Linked DNA regions of Mytilus edulis. The protein of the gene in region 1 binds, or shares a complex with, the protein of each later gene. Links are inferred from orthologs where the notes say so. Each region holds a gene or a part of one and is shown on either strand. Other genes may lie near its edges. The genes, in order: B9 domain-containing protein 2-like, transmembrane protein 231-like, jouberin-like and transmembrane protein 107-like.

Region 1 (7,413 bases):
ATATTTTGATAAGAACTGAAGTGTAATATTTAATATTGTTTTAATTGAACAAATTACCTTGTAAACCTTTGGTTGTAAAGTGAACATCTATTGGATGAGCCCAGTATGCTTCATCATAATTTTGTGGGTTATCTACTTGTGTTTGTCCTTCTCTTAGACCAGACAAAGCTTTCCATGCTCCTCCTGATAATACAAAATATATCATAAATATGAATTGATATATGAGGTACATGTAGTTTTACATAAAAAAATATCTTATAGTATAAAAACAAATAACTAACACTGGACTTTGACTTTGTGGTCTTCATTGGTGAATGTAAGTTAACACTTTAATCATGCACATTGTTTATGGATATACAATGTAGGTCAATAACAATGAAGAAAACTATTTACTGAATTTGAATAATGTGTATCCTGTGTTATCTGACATACTGGAGGACCAGAAAAAATGTTGGATTCAGCAGGGTGTCGGAATACTCTGGCAGGTTTTTTTTTTGCAAGGTTAAGCAAATTGGGACCATGAAAATGTGTCGGTTAAAGCAGGATGTTGGAACACTCAGGTGTCAGAAAAGTCAGGTTACACTGCATAATCAATCATAACACACTGAAAAAGGGCTAATATACAGACAAAACAAATTCTCTAATCAGATTTTCTTCAAACAGATTATTTTCTTCAAAATTTTGCTGAAGACTACAAGTAAGTTTAATTTTGAATGTTTTTTATGTTTGCTTGCTATTTCACAGTCTTTATAATTCTAAAGAACTAGTCAAAGTTTATTCAAAATAAGTTTTAAAAAAATGTATGTATATGTTGTTTAATAAGTCTATTTCAACACACCTGTATGTATACCCCATTTACAAAACAAACTATGATCTGGAAATCCATCAGCACCAAGAATCTGTCCTATGATATGTACTTCTGCCATGATTCTGTAAAAATAAATCAATTACTCTATTCAAGATTCAATTATGTCGGAGGAAAAAAATAAAATTACACAATTTAAAACTCACTTATTTCACATATATATATGTAATTCAATTGAATTCTCTCAAATACATTTCCAAAAGTACATTATATGTTCATGTTCCCCATTTCCATTCTTAATTTTATGTTGTACATTTTTATGTATAAAATGTATCAAAAGTCAAATTAAAGGGACTCCAAAATTACTAGTCATGCTAGTGTACACAATTCAAAGAGGGAAACCAACGATCTAATTTACATATATATACAAACGGGAAAATACATATGAACAGAACCACACCAACAAACGATACATGTTACTACTGAACAATAGACCCAGAATCAATGCGGACAGGTGCATAAACATGCAGTGGGTATGGATAGTTTCGTTCCGCTGGCATACAATATAATTGCAGTTGAAGGCAACTCTTCTCCTTCAGAAGTTCTGCATTCTCTATTTTGACAACGAACATTTTTTGATGGGCCGGGAATGTAGGTGAGGGGGAAGAAAACTAATGTACAGGTATTTTCCCCTTGTTATATATTTATATCAGAGCACTCCCACTTTGGATATATGGGTTTAATGTTTAATCAAATTTTTACAAAAACATTTACATAGTGTGGTGGGGTGCTTATAGGTTTAAAATCATTAAATACAGGTAAGCAGGTAAGACTGTGATTTTAAATTAAGGGTTAATATTTTTTTATAATATTTACCAAAAAACAGACAGGATTATATTTCCGGATGCGGGAAGCAGGAATATAAATCTTAAAATTTATTTCTGTTTCGAATAAAATAGGTGCGGCCAGGTCTGTCAAATAAGGAATTAAATTGATGTGGCCTCAAAGTCATTATTGCAGTACTAGTCTTCTTCTTTAAGGAAATTTGTAAATGGATTCATGTGATAGCTTTATGAATTATGTAGTATTGAATAACACAGAAAGTTCTCTCTTTGGTATTTACATATGTATTATAAACAATGTTTGCAACATATGCATTTTTCAATTATAACTCTAGAATCCGGATCCGTTCGCGCCCATTCACGTTTGCACCCACTCATGTTCGCCCCTTTCACTTTCCCACCCTACATGCTCGCACCCAAAGTCTGTTCGCACCCTACATGTTCACGCCCAATTTTAATTGGTTTTTTTTGTAATCATGCAAGTTTTGGTAAGAGTATTCTTCTTGTCATTGTCTTAAAATAAAGTGAGACAGCATTTTATTTTTGTGTTGAATAAATCTTAATCATGTTTTGGATAGTGTATTGTTAAAAAAAATATAATCCTTTCTATAAATAAAGTGGGATTCTGTCAACGTTTTATTTTGTGTTGAATAACTCTTAATCATGTTTTGGTTACTGTATTCCTATAACTTTGTTTCATTGACTTGTTTCAAAACAACTAAGTGAGATTTTGACTACGTTTTTTTTTTGTGTGTTGAATAAATTTTATCTTGTTTTGGTTATAATAGTGTATTGCTTTATTTTATTGTTTAATTGTTTCAGATCAAAGTGACCAAGCTATCAAAAACAATTATCTTTTGTGGTTTTTTTTTGGGCCCAAACGTGTAGAGTGCGAACGGACCTTGGGTGCAAACCTGCGAGGAGCAAACGTGTAGGGTGCGAAAGTGTATTGGGCGTTAACGGACCTGATACCATAACTCTAACCATCTGGTGTCTCTTTCCTTTTGTGATAAATATTTCAAACAGAAAGAAAGCAATTAAATGAATCTTGTAGTTAAATTGGCAAACCATTTTATTTGACATGCCCAACCCGTCTTTTCGAACATAAAAATCAAAAGTAATTAAAACCCGCTAGGAAAATTCAAGTTCGAACATGGCCAAGGCACTTTAAACTCTCTTTTTGCTTACCACGCCGTAATTTAAGTAGATAAAATGCTGAATTCAGTAATTTTGTTATTAAATGGTTAAAACTTTTCTGATTTAGGCTTCTCTGATATCTTATATATCAGGAAATTTCATTTTCTTTAGAATAAATTGTTAATGTTCATTCCTGTCCACCATTTTTGTTGACATTAACAATTTGATATTTTCGTATTTTGCATAAATCCTATTTATCAAAATAAATTGATCTTGGATGAATAATTAGTTGCTATTTAAAATGAAACTCTTTGTTAAACGCTTTTAAAAATAAAATATGAAATAATAACATCCGAAAATAATTAGTAAACAAATGCTGATTTGGCACATGTGTGAGTTCTATCAAGATAATGACAACTTATCATATTTGTCAGTGTAAAATTCATAGCTTATAAATAATCAACATCCTGCATCTCCCTCATAAACAATCATCAATCTCTCATATAAATTTACACGTGTGCTCTTGCATTTTACGTCTAATAACCAATTCCTGTTCTGGAGAAGGAATAAAACACATTGTCCAATGCTTTAAGGTTCATCATAACCTTTTGGCTAAAATGGCCTTATTTACACCCCAAATTTTACTCTGAGTACAGACTAACCTATACACCTGCAACAGTTTTAAGGGATGGCAGGAACTAGATATATAAATTTTAAATGCATTTTATGTTTCAGAAAATTATAAACTTTTCTAGATTTTGCTATCCATTTTTTTTCGTTCCTGCAGAAGGTGCAAAAATTAACTAAGTAGTGAAAACGATTGAGAAGCTCCCCTCATATAATGAATGTTGTGAGTAGTATTGATTTAAATGGACAATAGACACCTGTAAACAATAGGTGATTTAACAGGTTTAAACTGTGTCACTGAATGGACCGTATCAAATGAAACTCGGGTGTTTGTTTATTTTGCTATCTTCTGCAGACTGGAAAAAAATGAACATCAAAATCCAGGTAAGTTTTTAATTTTCTGAAACGTAGACTTCATATAACTTTTATATATCTAGTTCCTGCCATGCCTTAAAACTTTCCTGGATGTACCAGTTTGTCTGTACTCATAGTAATTTTGGAGGTGTAAACACGGCCATATTTTTCAATTCCTTATGATGAACCTTAAATACATGTATAAACAATAACGATAATAATTGATAAATTCTTTATTTTTAGAAATCTGTCTGGCATGACCCTGGAATCTGTTCCGCTTGAACGTTTGACATCATACAACAATCACTTTTCCATCAATCTAATTAAAAACCGATCTCTCATCGCTCCCGTTTTCTGATATGTCGCATGGGAGATCTAACGAAACCGGCTTTGAGGTCACATGTGAGTGAACTAAAAGTTATAAATTTATAATGATATGCAAATGAGTTGATGACCTATTAGTAAGCCAATCAAAAAAGTTTATGAATTATTTTGACTGACGATTTCGTCGTAAATAAAATGAGTTACATCCCTTTACCTTTCATTAAACTTTCAAGATCGTGGAAGACTCAATTTCATTGGTCGAAAAAGACACACCTACGAGGTCACTCACATGTGACCTCAAAGCAGGTTTCGTTAGATCTCCCACGCGACATCAGAAACAGGAGCAATAAGAGATCGGTTTTAATTAGATTGCTTTTCCATATGAGCATCACTGATGAATCTTATGTTGACGAAACGCTTGTCTGCTGTACTAAATTATAATCCTGGTACCTTTGATAACTATTTACACCACTCATGGGTCGATGCCACTGCTGGTGGACATTTCGTCCCGGAAGGTATCACCAGCCCAGTAGTCAACACTTCGGTGTCAACATGAATATCAATGATGTGGTCATTTTTATGAATTTCCTGTTTACAAAACTTTGAATTTTTCGAAAAAAACTAAGGATTTTCTTATCCCAGGCATAGATTACGTACTTAGCCATATATTTGGCACAACTTTTTGGAATTTTGAATCTTCAATGCTCTTCAACTTTGTACTTGTTTGGCTTTATAAATATTTTGATATGAGCGTCACTGATGAGTCTTATGTAGACGAAACACGTGTCTGGCGTACTAAATTATAATTCTGCTAGTGGTACCTTTGATAACTATTATGACTTTGTTTAAGACCCCAAACTAATCAATGGTAACAACAGGTGTCATAATCTGTTGTTACAGGTAATCTGTTTATTGGATGGGTCTTTAATGATTACTATATTAATTCATTCAAATAGAATCGATAGAAGGAATTTGCATATACATGTAACAACACTATGTACTGTACTTTCCTAGTGTAAGAATAATTTGTACCTCAGCCATTGTCAGCTCAGGCCAACAGAATGTATACAAAACTTTCCCAAAAAATCGGATTGTGTCTGTTGCTAAAGTAGACCTTTATAAAACTGAATCACCCTATACTAGTATATAAGAATCAATTGGATATAATTTGTAGAATATTCCGTATTGATTTAACCTTCCATTAATGGCCTGTTATTAATGAATGATAATTGTATATATTTAAGATTGTTTTTTGTGCATAAATTAATATTGTCATTTCTTCAACGTTGTACTTTATTTGGCCTTTTTAACATATTTTGATTCCAGCTTCACTGATGAGTCTTTTTGTAGACGAAAATTGTGTGTCTGGCATATATATAAAATTTGAATCCTTATATCTATGATGAGTTTATTCTATCTAGAACCTCCCAAAAAAGGGACAAACCTTGTTTATACTGTCCTTTGCTTTCTGATGTTGTCCCTTTCTATTACCAGGAGGTAAAAATAACCTATTTGTAATATGGTATGTAATTTAAAAAAATTCATGGTAAATTTATTTTTTTTAGGAAAAAAAATGTAAATTAAATTCCACACTTTGATATATATATTGGAATCATTTTGATCTTATGTCTGCAAAGGGAGGTCATCATGTATCTGATACAGACTCGGATATTACTGTTGGACCAGAAGATAGTGACGTGACCACTGAATCACCACACAAATCACCAGTAAATCTTCCGTCATTAAGTAAAAGAAGAAGTGAAGTTCATGAGATTTCAGAGTCTGAAGAGGAAAGTGAAGAATATTTCATTTTGAAAGGGACTTCTAAAGGGAAAGGAAAATCTTCATTATTTAACTCATTGAAATCCACATCTGAACAAAACGAATCTAAATCACTTGTTAAACAAAGTAATAAATCATCAGCAACTTTGACTAAGCTTAAGTCACAAGAAAAGACAACAAAATCATCATCAGAATGTTTTTCAAAGTCACTAGACAACAGAACAAAGCCATCATCAGAAACTTTGACTAAGTCAATCGAGAAGAGATCAAAGCCATCATCAGAAACTTTGACTAAGTCAATAGACAAGAAGACAAAGTTGTCACCAGAAACTTTGACTAAGTCACATGACAAGAGAACAAAACCATCATCAGAAAGTGTGACTAAGTCCTCTGAGAAAAAGACTAAGTCATTTACAGAAATAGAGAACTGGTTAGATAAGATTGATTCCAGTCCAGAGGCTGAAAAGGTTGATATTAAAAAAAGATTTGACAGTCCAGTGGAGAAAGGCAAACATTCTGATTATAAACCATCACCATCTAGTGGCTTGAAGAGAAAACAGACAGTTTTACTTGAAGAAGAAAAGAAGACAGTTAGTAGGAGGAAACCTCCTTGTCAGTATGGGTCAAAATGTTACAGGAAAAATCCATCTCATCTTCAAGAATTCAGCCATCCAGGTAATTAAATAGCAAAGTTAAAAAAAGAGGATTTGCATCAATTGCCTGTCCTATCAGGTAGTAGTAAAATTTAACAAAAGAACATTTGTTATCATTGTACAAAAACAACCTGCTTGTTTCTTGTTCATTGTTTAGTGGTAAAAGAGCAAGGTCAGTTTGTCAGTTATATGCTGAAAGGAATAAGTCAGATTATTTGAATAATAGGTCTATGATATAGAATGGAAATACTTTTCATGATTTGATATTGCATGTTGAGCATTTTGTTTCAGGGCAGTTTTCAAAGCCACTTGTCAACTACTGATCACATTCTTGTTCGACTATAAAAATGTCTGTAAGAAATCAAATATGCTTTCTCTAAGCATGTTTAACCATTGCTATGGTTGTTACATGTACTCTAAAAGTAGAGATATTTCCCATGATCAAAATTAAACAAAATTTCAACATTTATATATTGTACAACAATAATAAATATATGCCTCTGATAGTTCACTTTTGTAATGTATAACATAAACAAAAGATATCTTAGCTTGGTTTTAGTTAAGTATCATAGAATCACATTCTTCAGGAAACATTTTGTGTTTCAGATGATAATCAACAGACATCAGGGAGTGGTAGAACCACACAAGAATCTCCACCAAGAAAAAAGCCAAAGATATCCATAACAGGTCCTCTATCTCCAGATCAAGTCTATAGTGAAGGACAACCATATAGTTTCTTCCTAACCAAAGTTCATGGTATACAAAACCAATACAACCAAGTCTTAGCAATGGATATCAAAGGTGAGAGATGATACTTACAGTAATTAATCTTATATGAATTTTTCAAGTGCCATTGGTTATTCATCTTGTACTATAGGCGATATCATGT
Region 2 (7,630 bases), on another chromosome or scaffold:
TGCATGCGTCTGTAGTTATTATTGTAAAAGCACGGATTTTGGTCATAGCTGGTCTGGTTCCGATCCGTAGTAAGTAAACGGTCAATGGCGGACGAATGAAAGAAAATTTACAAAAATAAAGGATATTTGACAAGCTATTTGGAAAGAATATGACTTTTTTAATGCAATAAATGGATTAAATATTTACTGGAGGCAACTTTTATCATGATTAAATGAAGTAACATTGACCGTAGTTAGTAAACGGTCAATAACGGATGAATGAAAGAAAATTTACAAAAATAAAAGATGTTTGACGAGCTATTTGGAAAGGAATAAAACTTTTTTAAAGCAATAAATGGATTACCGGTAAATATCTACTGGAGGCAACTTTTATCACGTTTAAATGAAGTAACACACTTATTTTGCTGCCGATAGTTAGAATGATGTAAGTTCTCTAATTCATTGTACATGTAGGTCACAAGTACCAGAGGAGCATGAAGGGATAACAAAGTTGTCTTTTTATTAAATAATCTGCTACACACTGTAAAGGACAATACCTCAACCTTTTTTCTTAGAAAATGAATCTTTTAGGCCACACCAATTTGATTCCTTGTTCGACAGACCCGCCCGCACCTATTTTTTTCAAAACAGAATTTTTTTATTTCTTTTATATTCCCGCTTCCCGCATCTGGAAATGCAATCATGTCCATTTCCCGCACTGTTTTTGTTGTAAATATTATAAAAAGATATCAACATTTGTTTTTAAAATCACAGTCTAACCTGTATATAACGATTTTAAACATAAAAGCACCCCACCTCACTGTGTAAATATCTGTGAGAATATTTGTTTCAGCTCCGATATAAATTGATAAATTAACAGCAGAAATATCTGTAAAGTACAAAAAATTGGTTTCTTTCCCCCTTACTTATATTCCATATCAAAAAATGTTCATTGTTAGAATAAAGTATGAAGAACTTCTGAAGGATTTGTCTTCAACTGCAATTATATTGTATGCTGGCGAAACAAAACTATCCATAGCCGCAGCATGTTTATGCACCTGTCCTGATTGATTCAGGGGCCTGTCGTTCAGCAGTTATCGTTTCATGTTTGTTGATGGTGTTCATTGGTATTTTCCCTTTTTGATAAATTAGATCGTTGGCTTTCCTGTTCGAATTGTGTACGCTAATAATTTTGGGGTCCTTTATAGCTCTGTTTGGTCTGTATCAAAGCCCTGTTAAAAAGGCCGTACTTTGACCTGTGTTTGTTATTATCAGGTTGAGAACAATCCTCCCTCAGACAAGGGGTCATTTTACTGTTTTACTGATGAAGAAAAGAAATACCAAGGATATGTATAGTTCTTCTATACAAAACCTTTGAAAACTTACAATTTTGTACTTTTTCTAAAAGAGGGGTCCACTTATTTTGAATAATATTAAACTGTAATAAAGTAAATGTGTTAATTTAACATGGTTAAAGTCCAGGAATATTACAAAATTCCTGGACATGTTTTTACCATTTAATACCAGATAGATATATAGTTCTTTGAGAAAATATGAGCCTTTTTGTACAAACAAATATATAATAACTTATATTGATCCCTCATAAAACATGTAAAAGGGATATTTATAACATTAAGGGGTTTCCCCCAAACTGATTATGACTTGGATGGAGAATTGTCTCATTTCAGTCACACATTTTGTCTACATGTATGTTTGTATACCTTGCCGACTCTAAATAAAGCTTATTTATTATTTATTATTACATACATAGACCACATTTAATTATTTCTTGGTAAACAAGGAAAAAAACACTTCTGAAATTAAAGAAATGTCAGAGTACAAGTGATAAATCAAGTTTTAATGTTGTCAAAACCTACTATTTTATGTTTACAAAAAAAAATTATAATCGCTCGCCTTTACTTTTCAAGCTTCGCCTCAAAAATTTGCAAATTAAATATTTTTTCATTAAAATTTTCAAATCGCTCGCTCGCCCCAAATTTTGGAGTCCAAAAATCTGTAGAACAAGCACGGTGCAGTCCGGTGTATCCGCGCACATAAGACTTATGACTTCACTTCATTCAACTGATAAAACCAATAATTGGATAATTTTGTGTGAACACATTCATAATATACTTTTATTTCATAAAATCTTCTGTTTGTATGGTTTCATCCTCTAGATTTTGTGTAATGTGTGTCCAAAATTAGGGAAACCCCTGTTCTGAGAGTTCCTCCAATGTCCGGTGATTTCGCGCATGCCTTCCAAAAATAGCTTATTTGGAATAAAGGAAAGATTTTACACTACGAAATATAGCTGAGTTTGTACCAAACACACTTCCAAGGATGCAGAGCAAAAATTATTTCAATCTAATATTAATTTGAATTAAATAAAACCAATTTTATCTGATGATGTAATTTTTTTAATGGAAATTGGCCAAATATGGTAAATCACAGGATTTTAGTTATTAATTAATTCTTGAACTTATCAATTTTATTCTTTTTTATCCCTTCGGAAGGCTAAAACATTAACAAGAACGATTTTGTATGTGTAACTGTGTTGATATGACGAAATCAGCTAATGCGCGATAACACGGGCCGCACGGACACCGGGGACTCCACTGCAATTAAATTGGTGTGGCCTTATGTCTGAATTTCTTTATATTATCAATAAAAAATTGTTGTTTCATCAGTTTTCTAATTATCACCGATGCCATTTCCGCTCTCAATACGGAAAGCTGGTCAACATTTTTTTTTTATTTACAAATATATACATGAATCTGTATAAATTTGTTTTGTCAACGTGCTTCAACTTGATATGACTGGTGAAAAATCTTGGTTTTTAAAAAAAAATTTACATCGCACTTACCATAACTCCTATAAACAACGAAAAGTGGAGGGATTACTGTAACAAACAACACCACAACTAGAATTATAGATGCCTTTGAACAGATATGGGTTTTGTAACGTCGAAGTTCTGGATGAGAAAATACTTCGTACACCGCCATTTTCAAACAAAGCAGGAACGACGTGAATAAGATATAACATAAATGAATTATTAATAAAAAAAAATATGTGCATTATTTTCTGTGTATAATCATGATTGATTACTGGTATTTTTTGCATCATGAGTAAATTGATGAATTTTTATTTATAAATTGTTTTTATCGACCCTTTCGCCACTTAGCTCAGGGTGAATAAAAGTAAAGCAGTACGTGAACCTATTTTTCAGATAAACTGGAATCCGCTTGTAATTTACGCTACACTTGAACAAAGTCTAGTTTAGTAGTCAGTCGAGAAGCAGCTTATTTTTTAAAGGCATACGATTCATCATAAGGAACTACAAGAGACCAGAAACAGGATCGATTCCATAACCAACATCATGAGACGTCAGCTAGAAATTGACGAACGCTAACTGATAGAAGAAAGTAAAGAAGACACAGCCTCCGTCTGATCCTGATATACATGACAAGGTATATGACAAGGTGGTTGAGGGTCTGGTGTCGACTCTACCAGCCGACAACAACTTTGTTACTCGTCTTACTCCGTCATGAAGACCGAAAAGAACAACCAAAGCCAAAAACATTTACTTATTGTGAAACAAACAATATAATATTGAACGGCAAGTAAAACAAAAGAGGGCTTTAAGGGCATACGATACAGTTTCGATCCCATACAAGCTATTTTTCACCTTAGCAATTCAGATTTGTAATAAAAAAATATGTATACCTCAATGTACAACTTCAAGAGATAAACTAAGGGGTCGAAATTTTAGACATTTACTCTAAAAAATATGTGTTTATATTTCTATTCTTTGGATAGACACACCTGATTTTTTTATTTCTCGGCGACAGATAAACACAAGCGGAATTTTGTAGAAACACTATCATGCCAAAATGAAACTTCGCAAAAAAATCAAAAATTGATATTATGTTCATTCTGTATAAAAATGCTCAAATTCATAGATATTAAAGTTTTATTCCGCTAGATAAGCGATCACCATCGATTTTAAATTTAGAGTATTAATTATCTGCGTTCCGCCATTTTGTCCTTCTTTCCCGATTAATGAAACGATATGTCTATAAACCACAAAGAAACAAAACTACAGTAACCGATGTAGTCGTAATTGCGTGTCGATATCTTGTCAATCGTACGGTTGTTTTATCCGACTAACTAACCATGGTCTGTTGTTTTTAAAACTTGGAATTAGGTGACAAGTCAAAGTTGAAATCATAAATAAAAAGTGTTCCGTGAAAATTGTTTTCGAAAATCTAATTTGTTCATAATTCTTTAAAGTAATAAACTGTTTTCAAATAAATTTTGATCTTCCCTCTTCTGATCACCAGCATGGCTAAAGGTATTACTTCCAAAGGTATTGTGAGGGGTGTGAGGTGACACGTCCAGGTATTTAAGCGATTTCCTGTCGGGCTTGCAAGTTCACGCATCGTTTCACTTCTGCAGGTATTGATCAGTGTACACGGCTGATAACATTTAATTTTCCATTTTGAACTATCAGATGTATAATATACAACTCTGTCTTACTTGTCATTACCAAACTCATACGCTTGTTTATAAATAACATTTCTGGTGTAAAGAATATTATTCATAAAAATATAAATAATACCCAAAAAATAAGATTTGATGAAATTAAAATCTATTTAAATATTTTTCCAAGGGTGAATTTGGGAAAATGTAATATATACTCATTGTCAAAAGTGAAGGACAGATTGGAACATACCAGAAATATTGATTTAAAAAAATGTACGCACTTGCCGACGATTCGTTTATACGACTGGATAGAAAGTTACGGAACTATAGCGCAATTTAAAATATATACATGTATACATTGAACATAAGAAAAAAACATATATTTTGAATAAATAGGGGTAAAAGTGTTGTAAATAGACTAGTCCACGTATGCCAACAGTATGTAATCATCGAATGTCGATAGACTATTGTATACCAGAAGAAGAAGAGAACCAATTTGATTTAAATACAGGTCGATGTATAACTTTTGCTTTGGTTCATTGAAGTTGTGGACATAGTAAAATCACAGATTTATATTTCAATAAGATTGTTCTCGAACAAAGGAAGGAATTCGTCATCAAAATTGTTATATATGCCACTGGACGAACACTAATTATCCCGAAGAGATGTGAATATTTTGCTGGGAAACTTTTGAGTATCAAAGTTTCAAATTAATTTCGGGATTTATTTTTTTTCTTGGTATTCAATAACAGAAAAAAGAATAAATAACTTGTCCGCTAAATAGGGGTAATCTTGTCAGATGAAAGACTTTTAGTTATATTTAAAAAAAAATAGGGAAATATGACATTAAATTGGTTCTGTCTTTTTTTTAAACATCGTTAAAAAGATGTGTGTCTAAGGTGAACGCCACAAGAACCCTGTAATACTAGTACGAGAGTATAGCATGTAAACATTCCTTCTCAATAATATGGTTGTATTGGAAATCTTTTCATACAGATTGACAACTCATTGTCCGATATGCATGTAATATTTGCCACATGACGCCCATAGTTCTTTCTACCATCATCATCTTATTCTTTGATATTGCTGTCAACATCGATGGTTCACACCCAAACAAAAGGGGAGTAATGGACCTTCAGAGCTTCTCCGTGTTATACACTTGTGAAATATATAGACGAAATTTCTGTATTGAAATGAATATACATCTCACAAACAGGATTTTCAAATAACGATTTTGAGTAATCACCTTTCAAACCAATATAAACGTATGGCAAGATATAACCATGAAGGAATTTAGTTTTTGTCGGTAGGCACTTAAAGTTAACCATCGAGAGACGTTAACCACCGAGAGTCGGTTTTTAGACCCGCCCAGTGCACCTAAGCACGCCTACTTTTGGAGCTCTTTAGTATGAAGATAAGAAAAATATACGAAATTACGGAACTGTGTACCCTGTTTTATCCTTGTTGTTGGTGTTTCTTGCGCATGCGTACAAAGCACGGGGATAGTTACGGTTACTGACTCAGGAACCTTGTATATTATATACCTCGGTTTACAGACGTTTAATAAACTGGATCACTGTTGTGTTCACTTATCGATACACTACGATGGAATTACGGACCAGTTTAACATAAACATGGTAAATAGATAGACAGCTGATAATCATAATTGATTAAGAAATAACCTGGAAGAAGAAATGAGTTAACTATTGATTATAACAGAGACGAGTGCCATCGTGTTTGTTCTGCTAAAAAAAGCAGGAACATTGGAGTTTATGGTTAGATTTTAAATATTTATTGTCTCCAAACTGGGTAAATTTGATATAGTAACAACCCCCCCCCCTTTTTTTTAAATAACTCGAGAACCACACATCGCGCTCGCTTAACAAAGTAACAATAAGAAATAATTATTGTTAGTTTCAAGAATAATTAATCGTCAAAACTTATCCCCTCCCCGACATCAAAGGAAGTTAAATGTATTATCCCAAAATTAGACCAAATTATTATGATATAAGGACGTCTTGACAGGCTATTATTTTCTTTTGTTTTGTTGGTTTTTTTTGTTGCTTTGACGTCTTCCTCCTGTATGAAAAAAAACATAATAGACCCCCCCCCCCCCCTTTTTCCCCATAATATAGCTTTTTAAGAAGTCATAATTATTTGGACTACCCCTGAATATATTTCAGACAGACTCTTCTCTAAAAAAATATAAACATGATTTGAGAGAAATCTTTGGAATAATTTTTTAAATGATTTGATTATTATGTCATGTATATAATTAACATTAACATAGTTATAAACTGAGACTACTAGTATAACACATAGTGTTATAGTAGTCTCAGCTATAAACTTTCCATTGTATTGACCAATTTGACTAACTCATACGCTCTTTCCCATAAATGTCACAATATCAATATATTACAGTAAAACTGATAGTTTGATGACATTGTTTAAGACTATTGACCTCAGGTCAGCCTAAACTGAGTTTAAAACTGTAATTTATTCATTAAAACAGTACAAGACATGTACCTTCTGAAATGTGATTGCATCAAAATTAAACCTAAGGCATAACATACTTAGTGTGCAGGAAGTGCCACCAAATAAATACTGATTTGTAAAATTAGATGATGATATTTGTGAAGTCAAAGATATAATAGCTAGTTATAACTGGTTTTAGATATAAATCTGAGTAAAAGGTTGATTTATATGTGCTCTTTTATGTTTAGATTATAATTTAAATTTAATCTTTTGAAGTTTTTTTTATAATATTTAGACATTAAAATCACAATTATTTATTTATACACAAAAAAATAATTTTTGTCCTTTTTTAGTTGAATGACTGTACACAAACATTATACACACATAATTTTGATAATTCTGTAATGTTTTTTTTTCTATAGCCCCAGAATGTGACAAAAGACTTATTAATCCAGATTTACAAAAAATAGAAATAGTTCAGCTACCATAAGACTGCTATGACAAAAATTCTGCAGTTTCCAGAATTTGAGGTAGAGTATAGTTAGGAATAGTTTGATTATGCAGATGCTTAGTTTGCCATAAACAATTATGCCCTTGATACAAAAGCAGAGGAAACAAAAAAGTATGAAAATAGTTGAAAAAAGTAATCATTATTACCTAGTCATATACTGTAAATAGAAAAAGAGAAAAGCAC
Region 3 (6,938 bases), on another chromosome or scaffold:
ATAAAATGTACTACAAACATGACAAAAAATACTAACAGCAACAGATGTACAATGGGCAATGAAAATATAAAAATAGTATATAAATACATTGAACTTGATAGAACAATATTTTGCCACTTTCACTTTTCAATTACTTTGTAGGTTTATAATATACATTCTTTCTCTATTGAATTGATGGACTGTTCAATTGCTGCAGCTGTCATTGAAATTAAAAGTAATAACAGGAATTAAAAGTATAATAATAATACAAATCTGCTTTATACATGTACATGTATGTATAACATATAACATATTGGTTATAAATACATTAGTCATATATACATTTTGTACATGAATAGAAAAGAATATTTTTTTACATGAACTTGTAATATTGTGTGGAAATTAAAGGAGTTGGCACTAAAAATCAGAAAATTTCTCACTGCAAATAATGTGGTGAAAATTTGATAAAAAAATAAATAATCAGGGTTCTCACTAGGAATTTTTCATGGTGAGTCCAGGATGCATGTAATATTATTTTTTGCGTCTTAATATAATGAAATATGACGAAATAAAACTAAAACAATGCATGTTAAATTGTAGTTTTTATTAGATATTTATAAAAATTATGATCTCTTAATAGTAATTGTTCATTACAAAATATATAACAGACTTCTTTCTTGGTCTATCAATTCTTGGTGTAGGGCCACATTTAAAACAAATAATTTCAACATCGACTCCATTAAGTTTCTTGTCAAAACAATGTCGACAATCATAAATCTTATAGGCAAAACAATGTTTTTGGGACTCAGGGGATACAATCAGGATGCATTCCTGGGACTCACAGTTTCAAAAATGACTTGTATACGCGTCTTAACGAGAACTCTGATTCATCGGAGGTGTCCTTTGTTATTCTGTGGTTTATATGTTGTTGTGTAGTATTATATTATTTATTTGTGTATTTCTCTATCTTTTGTTTATTTGTAATGCTTGCATGAAATGTTGTAATTTTAGCAATATTTTTAACATTGCCATATACAATGTAAGAGAGAGGTTCGGCTAGCCATTAAACCAGGTTCATACCACCATGTTTTCTTAAAATGTCCTGTACCAGGAAAATGGCATTTATTATTAATTGTTTTCATGTTTGCGTTCGTTTTTGTTGCAGTTCAGTTTTCTGTTGTTCCGGTTGGTTTCTTCTTAGAATGTCTTATAAATGTAGTCATATAGTTAATGTACATTTGTATTTCCCTGGTTTTGTTTTAGCTTAATTAATTATTGACTTTTGAACAGTGGTATACTATTGTTGTATTTATTTATATGTTATAATAAGTTCAACTTATTGCCAACCAAAGTAATAAATTTTGACTACAATATACACCTTTCAATCATACAAGTAGCGTTAGACACAAAGCAAATCAAGATGCACTCAGTGGGTTGAAAGATGTTTTGTGTCTAACCTCTGACAGTGTTCCTGTTTGAAGGATAAAATCTTAAAGACTTTAAGTAAAAATGGTCTGAATCGTGCTTTAAAATCTATCTACTTTGTCTTTGAACAGGTTGGGCACAAGTCAGGAAATGTGGGATTCAGGTATTCCCTGCTTTCAGACTTACAACAATGTATTAGATATGTTATATGACAAATGTATCTGTATCTGTATTGTTACGTCGAAGGAATTCTAGTCAAATTGGCACCTGGTTAAATCGGCACTTGGTCAAATCGGCACTTAGTCAAATTGGCACCTGGTTAAATCGGCACTTGATGTAGTCAATTCGGCACCCATGTTAAATTTGTTTAATATTTACATTGTATGTTGTGTACAAGATGTAAGTTTGTACTACAGGTTTTTTTTGTACAAGTTATAAGTTTTTTGACACACATTTTCTTACACCAGGTGATACAAGTTTATCTTTAAAAATGTTCTAGTTCAATGTTTTAAATTCAAATGTATATACTTCAACCTAACATTTTGTGCTATTCTCCTTGTCCTCACAATGGAAATGAGGATACCTGAATGGTTTAAATTCGAATTTTATTATTTTTTATTTTCTCCTGATACCATATATCCATAAAAAGTCTTTTTGTGGTAATGTTTTTGTATTAATTCTCACTATTAGATTGTATCATATAGTTGTGAAAATATTAACAGAAATATGCGAAACATTTTTAGAATTATTTATATATATCTGGGACTATTATGCTAGTATACTTGAATTACTAACTTAGCATAATAGTCCCAGTACCATATATTATATCAAATATTATTGGATGTCGAATTGATTTTAAATAGGTGCTGATTTGACTAGATGCCGATTTAACCAGGTGTCGATTTGACTTTTTCTATGGGTGCCGATTTGACTTGTACCCACCTCCAATATTGGCTTTTACTCGACGGGTATGATCTATTATCTAATATATAAACTTTGTTCTATTTACTTTAGCAAGGTTTTAGAGGAAAGTAAACTACATTTTAAATATCCAGTTCATTTGATTTTGCCAACTTTTCGTTCAGTTTCAATTACCGTACGTTTCTCAATTAACATGATTAAAGATTTTAAATAGCACAACCCTTTTTTACAAGAAAACTGTCAAACTATTATACATGAATAGTCTCATCTTTATCGATACATAAAATTTATTATGTCAGAATTAATAAGAGTCAAAAGGTTTTCCAACGAATAAAAATCAAACTCAATCTATACGAAATGAGTGAATATAAAGATTGCAACCTAAAAATTGAAAAATTCAGGTCAGATCATGTTTTTGTGGTAAACATTGACATTTATTTTGTTGTTTCTTACACAAAATTACAATTATTACAAGAATTGTGTATATCCTGTTTATTATTGTTGCACTAGACAGTGCGTAAAATTGTGAATAATATCAGACTTGTGATAAATGCTATTAAAACATGTGTAAATTTTCAAAACTTTACCTTCATCCGCCATTTTTGTTTACGTTTGGCAACCAGATATAACGCCTCATTCGATTGGTTGAAATATTATCAATGACCAACATCACTTTTATAAATTATATCTAATTCTGCTGATCACTTTTTATCATTATAAAATTAACATTGAACTCTTTTTAAATTGTCCAGTAAGACATAAACCACACTTTTTTTTAACAGTGATTATGACGGGGTGGAAAAAAGGGGGGGGGGCAACAAATTAATACAAATATCATTATTAAATACCGTTTCCGAGCATGACTAACATTGATGGTCTCATCTTTATTGCTACATTGATGTCAGAAGTTATAAGAGTTTTCCGACGAATAAAAATCAAACTAAGTCTATATGAGACAATATATGAAAATGTCTTATTTCAGTTTGGCAATAGGAAAAAAAATGTCTTTAAAACCGGTACTTTAACATAGTTTAAATAGCACAAATCGAAGAACACAAATTGAGGATCTAGGAACTGTTGTCTGTAATTCAAACAGTTTTCGACTTGTCGGCCAAAAAAGTAGATTGCTTTTTGTCAAAAAAGTTTGTCTGGACAAACTGAATCCATAGCCCCCCTTCCCCCCCGAAAATCAAATGGTTGCTGCCTAATGGGAATAAAGAATAAGTTAAAGATTCTATTTGTGGTATACTAGTATATCATGACAGAACGTAACAGAAAGGAATTACACAGTACTCAAGTTTTTGTCCTTTTATATGAATTGTGTTGAATTTTACTCCATCTACATATCAATTTAATAAGATACTATAAAAACACATTTACTGTTATATGGTGCTGACAATGAAATATTCTCAGAAGGTACACAAAAAGACTTTAACAGAAGAGAACAACAAAATTATTCTTCCTAAATTCTTTTCTTTGGGGAGTTAGGATTTTTCAAACTGGCTGCCAGTCACCTATACATATGGAGTCAAACATTCAGGAAATGATGCTATTCGCATTACATTACAAGACATCGAATTTTGGTCTTTCAAACGGTTCCACAGGTGAAAAAAACTTGTGGTAACAGGAGGGAAATTACCCCTTGAGACAAAATTTAAAAGACCCTTAAAAATGCAAAATTTTATCACATGCTTCAGTTATAACAAAATCAGACCAGTAAGGGACAAGTTTTCTATATGATCTATCATATTTGTGAAAATCGGAAGCCTGTTTACTTAATTTGGATATTCTTTGAATGATTTAGTTGTCAGATAACACCACCGGACAACAAGAATTTTTGGGGGTTGAATATTCAAATTATAATATTTTATTGGAAGAAATATAAGAAAGAGTATTTAATTGGCAATAGTTGGTGCATTATATACTCTAGTTAATACTGAAACTTAAAATTAAAAAAAAATCTGGTTGAATACAAAAATAGAGAGCCGTGGTGTAGTGGTTATAGTGCATCGGACTACTAACACAAAGGTTCCTGGTTCGATTCCCGTTGCGGGATGAAAATTTCAGGGATTGAATTTTCGGCTATCCCTTGTCACTATTTGCGAGTATGGTCTTGAGGAAACGATGATAGTCCGTCGGAAGGGGACGATAAATTGCTGATCCATGTTAAGAGAGAGCCATATCTCTTGCACGTGAACATGGTGAAAGACACTCTTGTAGATTTCGAAAAAGAGCAGGCTAATGTCGCTACAAGGCAGCACTCGCACCCGCAACTGAAGTGGAAAGGGATAAATATAAGTTGCATAAAACTTGTTTCCCAATCCACTATAAATAAATATGTTTAAACTAATAAAAAAATAATTGCTGGTAAAAGATGGAACATGGAAATATACTTTTGCAGATATCGTCTCATATACGAAATGAATCGATCAGTATGGCAACGTTGACAAAAAAAGATATGTTTTGCTATTAAAAAATCATTTTTTTATTATTAAGAATTATTTTATCTAATATTGAAAATGCATTTTCTAATATTAGAGATTGAATTTCTAACATTAAGAAATGAATTTCTAATATTAAAAATTCATTTTCTAATATTAAAAATTCATTTTCTAATATTAGAGAATGAATTTCTAATACATATGAAGAAATGAATTTATAATTTTCGGAAATGATTTCTTATTTTCGGAAATGAATTTCTCATATTTAGAAATTAATTTCTAACATGAAAAAAAGAAAAAAAAAACCCACGATTTCTTAATATTAAAAAATAAATTTGTAATATTAGAAAATGAATTTAAAGATAAATGAGATCATGTTTCCAGTGCTGGTAAACATTGGCAGTTCTTTTGTTGTTTCTTCAATACACATACAATTACAATTAATATATGGCACGTAACTGAAAAGTCTTTAAAAAGGACCAACCAGCAAATTTAATCAGCACCGAATCGAGTAGAATCGGCGATACTGCGCACATTAAGGAAAACAAATATTGGTCTAATAGTATTAAGTTTCTGGAACGATAATAAGATGAAGATGGTTGTCACTAAACTATTTTTAAATCGTCTCCGTTTAATACCATCTTATATTTATAGTACCGTTGCGCAAATCTTAGGGCTCTTGAATATTAATTATTCAGTAGTTTTAAGATAATATATAATACGACGCAGGCGTTACATGTGAAAGGGAACGAAGTCCGTATCATTTTTTTCTTCATTCTAACATATTTTAATGTTAAAAAAGAAACTGAAATAACATTGTAATGCTGGGTCTTCCAAGTGCTCCACAAAACCTCTTTCTAAATTCTTTACATAAATTTTTATCAACAATCAAAGCCGGACTTCAAAGTTATTGTGAAAGTTCATATTCTAGTGTTGGTGTGGATCACTAAAACATTCCAAAGATATCTTATAGCTCATACAGTCTAGGACTCATGCATCTTACAATTTAGTAATAAAACATTTGACTTTTTCTTTACTTTACACAAGTATTCCCCATTCCAAACTAAAAGACAAATTCAAACAGTTTGTCATGCTTTTATCTCATAAAAAAGAATGGCTTAAGTAGATCCACGTATCTTGTCTGAAGGAGGGATAAATTCTCGGATGAATCGTACCTTGTAAAACACCACTCTTATTCAAACAAAAAATCAATTACTGATATTGTCAAGATGCTTGATTAAACTTAAAGACAAATTGAAACAGTTTGTCATGTTTTTATCTCACAAAAAAGAATGGCTTAAGTAGATCCACGCATCTTGTCTGAAGGAGGGATAAATCCTCGGATAAATCATACCTTGTAAAACACCACTCTTATTCAAACAAAAAAAATCAATTACTGATATTGTCAAGATGCTTGATTAAACTTAAAGACAAATTGAAACAGTTTGTCATGTTTTTATCTCACGAAAAAGAATGGCTTAAGTAGATCCACGTATCTTGTCTGAAGGAGGGATAAATTCTCGGATGAATCGTACCTTGTAAAACACCACTCTTATTCAAACAAAAAAAATCAATTACTGATATTGTCAAGATGCTTGATTTCTTGATAGACAACATCTTTGTTACCTTCGGAGGACATGTTTTTCAACAAAGAATCCACATTTCCATCGGAACCAACGGTGCTCTCGTTATTGTCGACTTGTTCCTTTATTCATGAGGCTGGTTTTATGCAGGAATTTCCTTGGAAGAAAGAAAAACAGTATCCTTTTACTTAACTTTCCGCTATATATATACAGATCATGTTCTCTCACTTAATAAAAATTCAAATTTTGGTAACTGTGTTGAACGCATCTACCGCCCCCCATGGAACTTGAGATAAAATATACAACAGATACAGTAAATTCTGCTTCACATCTTGACTAACATCTAGGAATTGACGAGACTCGGTTGAAAACAAAACTGTACGACAGAAGAGATGATTTCAGCTTCCCAATTTCTATGTAACAACATTCCAGCAGCGCCTGCATACCGAGCATATATATTTCAATTGATACAATATTTCAGGGCTTGTGTTTCCGACCATGGTTTCATTGATAGAGGGTTGCTGCTCACAAGGAAGCTATTGAAACAAGTGTTCCAAGTGTCGAATTTAAAGTCTTACCTTCAAATAAT
Region 4 (6,856 bases), on another chromosome or scaffold:
CAAGAATGTGTCCCAAGTACACGGATGCCCCACTCGCATTATCATTTTCCATGTTCAATGGACCGTGAAATTGGGTAAAAAATCAAATTTGGCCTTAAAAGTAAAAAGATCAACCAAAAGGGAACATGTGTACTAAGTTTCAAGTTGATTGGACTTTAACTTCATTGAAAACTACCTTCACCAAAAACTTTAACCTGAAACTCACACTTTTAATTTCTATGTTCATGATCAGTGGACCATGAAAATGGGGTCAAAAGATTAATTTTGTTTTAAAATAAGAAAGATCATATAATAAGGAACATGTGTACTAAGTTTCAAGTTGATTGGACTTTAGCTTCTTCAAAAACTACCTTGACCAAAAACTTTAACCTGAAATGGGACGGACGGACGAACAGACAAACGGACAGACGGACGGACGGAAGGACGCAGAGACCAGAAAACATAATGCGGCTTATGCCCCTCTATTATCGTAGGTGGGGCATGAAAACAATTCTTATAAATCATGTAAATTGGAACTAAGGATTTGTACAAATACTCATTAGAGTGATTAAAATGACTGTAAGGAGGTTGTAAAAAAAAATGAAGAATAGATGACATTGACTTTCAATATTAAATTTATTTTGTCGAAAATACGTTCAAATAAAGAAACTACATTGTACATACATGACATACAATGACATAGAAACTTCAAAAAGTTTGTTACTGTTTGAGGAATATTGAAATTCAAATTTGAACTGTCTGGAAGAAAACAATTTTCATGAAATGACTAAACGTACTACATTGTGGTTGTTCAAATGCTGACTGACTGATTTTTCTGGGGAAAACAATTATTATAAGAAGGTTAATTATCATAATTATATTTGTGGTTAAATATGATCCATTAGTGACCAATCGGATGGTGATAAGCGGATAAGCTGTTACAAATCACAACTTGTAACACCTGTTGTACAAATGTAAATGTTAATTACCGGCTCAGGGCCAGAAACTTGAACACAATTATATTTTTTATACAAAAATATTATTAGACCTTCAAACATGTCATGATTTAAGAGACGAAATTGATTTGAAATCCTTTCAACATTTTGAAAACCATTTTGTGAATGACGAAATGATGGAACACTAGCAAAATCACTGCAGGTTGGACAGATACGAATCCGGGTCCATTCGCGCCCATTCACGTTTGCACCCACTCATGATCGCCCCCTTTCACTTTCGCACACTATATGTTCGCACTGAAAGTCCGTTCGCACATTACATGTTCGCGCCCAATTTTTATTGGTTTTGTGTTTAACAACTTTGTAATCAAGTTTTGGAAAGTGTATTCCTATCAGAATATTTGTTGTCATTGTCTCATTATAAAGTGAGACAGCATTATTTTTTGTGTTGAATAAATCTCATTTGGATAGTGTATTGTTAAAAAAAATAACAATCCTTTCTAAATAATGTTGGAATCTGTCAACGTTTTATTTTGTGCTGAATAACTCTTAATCATGTTTTGGTTAGTGTATCGCTGTAACTTTGTTTCAATCATTGACTTAGGCCATAATAAATAAAAGGTTTGTTTGCCCAAACACTTCCTACCAAGAAAAAAAGCTGCCTACTCAAATTCTTTTATTGTCCTGATTTGAAGAAGTTTTTTTTTTTTATCAAATAGGCATGAAGACTAATTAACATCTGATACTTCAATTTCTTTTTTTGAAAGAAAAAAAAATGCCTACCTACCTACCCACTGTCTCAACCTTTGGGTAGGGTTTGGGCAAACCAAAATATTTTTAAGTCTGGCCTTGTTTCAAAATAAAGTGAAATTCTAACTACGTTTTCTTTTTGTGTGTTGAATAAATTTTATCATTTAAATCAGGACAATAAAAGAATTTGAGTAGGCAGCTTTTTTTCTTGGTAGGTAGTGTTTGGGCAAACAAACCTTTTATTTATTATGGCCTAAGTCAATGATTGAAACAAAGTTACAGCGATACACTAATCATGATAATAGTGTATTGCTATATTTTATTGTTTCATTGTTTCAGATCAAAGGGACCAAGCTGTTAAAAACAATTATCTTTTGTGTTTTTCATTTAAAATCTTCAATGTTTTACTCATACATTTTACTAAGCTAAATACCTATGCAGTTTAAAACAACAATCATGATTTTCTAATTATTCAACTGGAATTTGATCTAAAATTGGGCGTGAACATGTAGAGTGCGAACAGACCTTGGGTGCGAACGTGCGAGGAGCAGACGTGTAGGGTGCGAAAGTGTATTGGGCGCGAACGGACCTGATACACCTTATTGCTAATCCCGTCTGACCCCAGAATCTGTCCCACTTGAACTATTGACGTCATACAACAATCGCTTTTCCATTGTGGCGTCAGATATTTTGTATTATGACATCAAAATTTTACGTGAACCTGTATGATGTCCAGTAAATTGTAATGGCGGGCAAATAGCGATAAGGTGAATTACAAAATAGAGACAAGGTGTATACACCTTATCGCTATTCCCGGCTGACCCGTCCGCTTGAACTTTTGACGTCAACAACAATCACTTTTCCATTGTGGCGTCAGACATTTTGTTTTATGACGTCAAAATTTTACGGGAACCTGTGTGATTTCCAGCAATGGCGGACAAATAGCGATAAGGTGTATTGTAAACAGTATTATTGTGTAAAGTTTACTTACTTTTGACCAAAATAAAACTATGACTATCACAAGATGGGCGACAATTGTGAGAAATCTTGCTGGAACAAGACCACTTATTCTCATTTTGACTATATCTGAAGTATATGTATAATTTCCTTGTAATTTGTATTAAGTTGGAACCAAGAATTTACAAATTACGACAGTATACTTCGAATTCTTGCCAAGTGTTGTTTTAACTCCTTAAATATGCGTAACCATTCAGTTTTGCTTTTACAATAAAATGGTTATGTCTTTGATGACAACTTGCTATTCACGATGTACACAATGCATAAGTATAAAAATATTGGTATGTCTAAGCTTGTTTGGCGGCCATTTTCAAACAAATCATGTTTAACTTCCGAGTCCGGTCACGCTTGCGCATTCACTGTGGACACGTCTCTTCATCCAGGTTGAAACTGAACCGGCGAAACTTATTTGTTTACAAACTTATAACCCAAGAGAATGGTAACGAATAACTATTTTAGAATTTTATAACGCATGAGCTTCTCGATATGTAGTAGCTGTCAGGTTTAGGGGCGAAATATAGTAAAGATCAACGTTTAATGTGAAAAGGGGGGATATGGACCATTGTTGACACATTTTTTAACATTACATATTTTGTAGGTTACCGAAAATTATTGCAATTAGACATTAAGTGTAAAGCAGAACGACACTAATTTGATAGTCATTTATGAAATGTGGTCATAATCATAATGCATTATTGGTTGTAAGCTAATCATTTTTGTACCACTGGGGCACTGCCATACACCTTATCGCTAATCCTGGCTGACCCGGCCGCTTGAACTTTTGACGCATAGAACAATCACTTTTCCATTGTGGCGTCAGATATATTGTTTTATGACATCAAAATTTTACGGGAACCTGTGTGATATCCAGTAATGGCAGACAAATAGCGATAAGGTGTATTTCGTACCCTATGCCTATGGGCCAAAGCATCTATCAATTTGTCCCTCATGAACTAAATACATGTTAACTATTTTGTATCATTTACCAACAGTCTTGGTAAATGATAGTAATATTTAATAAATATCAAATCTGTTTGTTTTTATACACCCGTTTACTGGACGTATTATGGTATACTGTTGTCTGTCCTTCCGTCGTCAATTTGTTGGACAATAACTCAAAAACGCTTGAATGTTATTAATTTAATCATGATTGAGTAATTGTACAATAAGTGCATGTGGAGTACATACATCAATGAAATAGTACAGGCCTCTACAATAACTTTTTTTTCAACTTGTCCAGTCATGCCAGTAGGACAAGTACATACCAAAACTTACTTGTCCCAATGAAATTGTTACTTGTCCAAATTTTTTTAATAAAAAATAACCTTTTTACATTTTAAGTTGATTAAAGGAACAAAACGAATTTAAACAATAGAACAGAATTTGATGTATTTCTTTTGAAATACTTTTCAAAAATATGAGTCAAGTACAACTGAATCTAGTCATGTCACAGGACTTAGGTTCTAGTTTTCATCAATGCCAGCTGTCTCATCAGACTCTAAACATGAGGCACCATCTGATAGGCCTGTACACTCATTGGATTTGTATCCTGGTTTTTTTTTTAAGTTGAAAAAAGTTTATTCAAATGCAATCAATAAAAAGAAGAAGATAAGGTCTGATTGCCAATGAGACAACTCTCTTCAAGAGACCAAAATGACACAGAAATTAACAACTAAAGGTCACCATTTTGCAAGTATTGTTTTTTTTTTACCTATGATCAAATATGATTTTGTGAATTTTATGAAATTATGGTTAATACAAAAAATTATGGAAAATAAAAAAAAATATTTTTGTGAAAAAATTACCTGTATGGTATTTATTATAAAGAACAGAATAAGGAAAGAAAATGAGGAACTGATTTGTCTTGGTCCCGAAATGTCTCCTGCCTTGCCAAAGTGTCTATCAATCATTTCCACTAAATTTGTCTCCTACGGTGCCAAACTGTCTATTAAACTTTGAGCTAAACCTGTCGAAGTGAGAACTGTCCTGTAAAGTTACCTAGTCTACAAAACCCAGCATTGATTATTCGGATCAGTAAGGCTGGTTTCCGAGAATAGTATAATGTACCAGTGTTCTCCCCAGATATTTCATTTAGCATCCTGGTAAATAGGGGAAATTAAAATACCATCTTGTTTCTGAAATTTATAGCATCACATCCATAACATAATCTATAAGAAAACCAATTCAAATAGCATCACATTTAAGATTATAGCATCACATTACCATGATGCTAAAAGGCCCTGGGGAGAACACTGAGTACCTTTCACCTGTTAAAAGGTACCTGACAAAGGACAAGTTAAAAATTATCGATTGCAAGTAAACATGCTAAAAAAAAGGTTTTGCATTTCAATAAACAGAATACAGAAACATGTCAAACTAATTTTTGTTTTTTGTTTATTATTATACTTTGTTCATCAAAGTTGGATGAAATTTATTTTCTGCAGAATAATTGTACTTGTTCCAACGGACAAGCTTGATACAGCTTTTACTTGTCCGACCTTTTTTCCCTCTGGTATCGGACAAGCGTTATTGTCGAGGCCTATAGTATCCAAACCTTCTAAAATGATAAACAATAAAACATACAAAACTTCCATGAGGTGAAAAATGGTAAACATACAAACCTAACATGATGAGATAAGAAATGGTATACATTGTACATATAAGTTGTCCATGAGGTACGAAACCATGGATATGGGATATAAAAATCCAATCTCTGTCACCCACTTTTCCTATGTTGATAATATTAAAAACCAGAAATTTTAATAATATATTTCTAATTAACAATGGTCTTCTACATGTACATGTATGTATCTTTCTTATGTCATGTTATTAAGTTTGTGCATGCTTCTTCTTCTTGTTATGGAAAAAGTACTCTTGTATCTGGAGAACTTCTGTGATGGGTTAAAAGGAACTACCAAACAACAGTTGAAAGGATATATAGTATTAAAATAATATGAAATCTAGTATTTACAGCTCTACACTGTTCATTCTTACATATACTTACTTAAACATGATCAACATCTAATATCTAATGAATTATGTATTGCAGCCGTTACGTTTGAATATAAAGCGGGTTTTGACAGCCCGATCAGATCGTGTTAAAAGCATGGGTCTGCACCCAACTGAACCATGGATGATGGCTAGTTTGTATGATGGCAAGGTGGTCATTTGGAATTTTGAATCTCAGGTATATAACTATTGACTTTTATTATTCTTTTCAGCCGCTACGTTTGGATATAAAGCGGAAGCTGTCAGCTAGGTCTGATCGTGTCAAATCTGTGGACTTGCACCCTACAGAGCCATGGATGTTAGCCAGTTTATACAATGGAAATGTACACATTTGGAATTTTGAATCCCAGGTATCTCAAAGTTTCTCTAGGCTATAGCTAGCATGTGAGCAAGTGTACCACTATATATGCTCCAAGTAACACTGATATAATATGCTGCATGTTTTTCCTATTGTTTTGTCCATACCTTTGTCCAGATACCTCTATATGTTTTAACCAATGTACCTGCTTTACATGTTTTAATGAATGCTATTTGACATAAAAATATTTTTGTATTAATTTTTTACTTTCTATTTTACTTTGCTTCGGCATATATCCTTTTTTCTCCAGATATTTCAGACAGTTTCAAATTCGTGTTTCAGAAATTATTAGGATCAGATCTAGAATAATCCAAATTTTACATTAAAACCTAAAAAATGATCAGAATAAAAAAAAACTTTGGAATTATGTGCTACATATGTATGAAGAACCTCTTCCTTTTAGCTTTTTTTTCACAAAACAGTCCAAAAGAAATAAACAACTCTATCTCTAAGAGTATTGTTAGATTGTGCATACATTGATTGTGCCATTTGATAATGTTTAATGGAGAAAAAAACAACTTATAATGAACGTATTGTTTGAAATTCAAAGAAAAAATATCAGTTTGATATATATTAATAAATTTTATTCTCATTTGCTAATAATATATTAATTCTGAAAATTTAAATGATACCTTTGAGTTCTAGCATTTAAATGGTTCTTTTATAAAAATTGCTCTTGAATTATAATACAAAGTAAATCTACAATTATTCTTCTTTAAAGGGAAAATTCACGATTTTTTACTTATGGTTTAAATATGTTCATTATGACATAATATATATATTCACA

Evidence for each region.
Region 2: B9 domain-containing protein 2-like (region 1) and transmembrane protein 231-like share a complex: the UniProt entries of both Homo sapiens proteins name them as parts of the tectonic-like complex. The link is inferred for Mytilus edulis from reciprocal best matches to the Homo sapiens genes B9D2 and TMEM231.
Region 3: B9 domain-containing protein 2-like (region 1) and jouberin-like share a complex: the UniProt entries of both Homo sapiens proteins name them as parts of the tectonic-like complex. The link is inferred for Mytilus edulis from reciprocal best matches to the Homo sapiens genes B9D2 and AHI1.
Region 4: B9 domain-containing protein 2-like (region 1) and transmembrane protein 107-like share a complex: the UniProt entries of both Homo sapiens proteins name them as parts of the tectonic-like complex. The link is inferred for Mytilus edulis from reciprocal best matches to the Homo sapiens genes B9D2 and TMEM107.

What each region holds. Positions count from the first base shown.
Region 1 is NC_092346.1:49,637,441-49,644,853, forward strand, and holds the start of B9 domain-containing protein 2-like, read right to left. Parts: upstream 3,010-7,413; 5' UTR 2,836-3,009; intron 931-2,835; 5' UTR 927-930; coding exon 839-926; intron 184-838; coding exon 58-183; intron 1-57. Other genes in the region: tyrosyl-DNA phosphodiesterase 1-like, read left to right, coding at 5,715-6,546, 7,131-7,325. UniProt on the Homo sapiens protein: Component of the tectonic-like complex, a complex localized at the transition zone of primary cilia and acting as a barrier that prevents diffusion of transmembrane proteins between the cilia and plasma membranes.
Region 2 is NC_092348.1:50,344,714-50,352,343, reverse strand, and holds the start of transmembrane protein 231-like, read right to left. Parts: upstream 3,004-7,630; 5' UTR 2,982-3,003; coding exon 2,843-2,981; intron 1-2,842. UniProt on the Homo sapiens protein: Transmembrane component of the tectonic-like complex, a complex localized at the transition zone of primary cilia and acting as a barrier that prevents diffusion of transmembrane proteins between the cilia and plasma membranes.
Region 3 is NC_092344.1:20,716,300-20,723,237, forward strand, and holds the start of jouberin-like, read right to left. Parts: upstream 3,005-6,938; 5' UTR 2,926-3,004; coding exon 2,913-2,925; intron 1-2,912. UniProt on the Homo sapiens protein: Involved in vesicle trafficking and required for ciliogenesis, formation of primary non-motile cilium, and recruitment of RAB8A to the basal body of primary cilium.
Region 4 is NC_092356.1:64,949,425-64,956,280, forward strand, and holds the start of transmembrane protein 107-like, read right to left. Parts: upstream 3,026-6,856; 5' UTR 2,761-3,025; coding exon 2,677-2,760; intron 1-2,676. Other genes in the region: coatomer subunit beta'-like, read left to right, coding at 5,852-6,061. UniProt on the Homo sapiens protein: Plays a role in cilia formation and embryonic patterning. Requires for normal Sonic hedgehog (Shh) signaling in the neural tube and acts in combination with GLI2 and GLI3 to pattern ventral and intermediate neuronal cell types.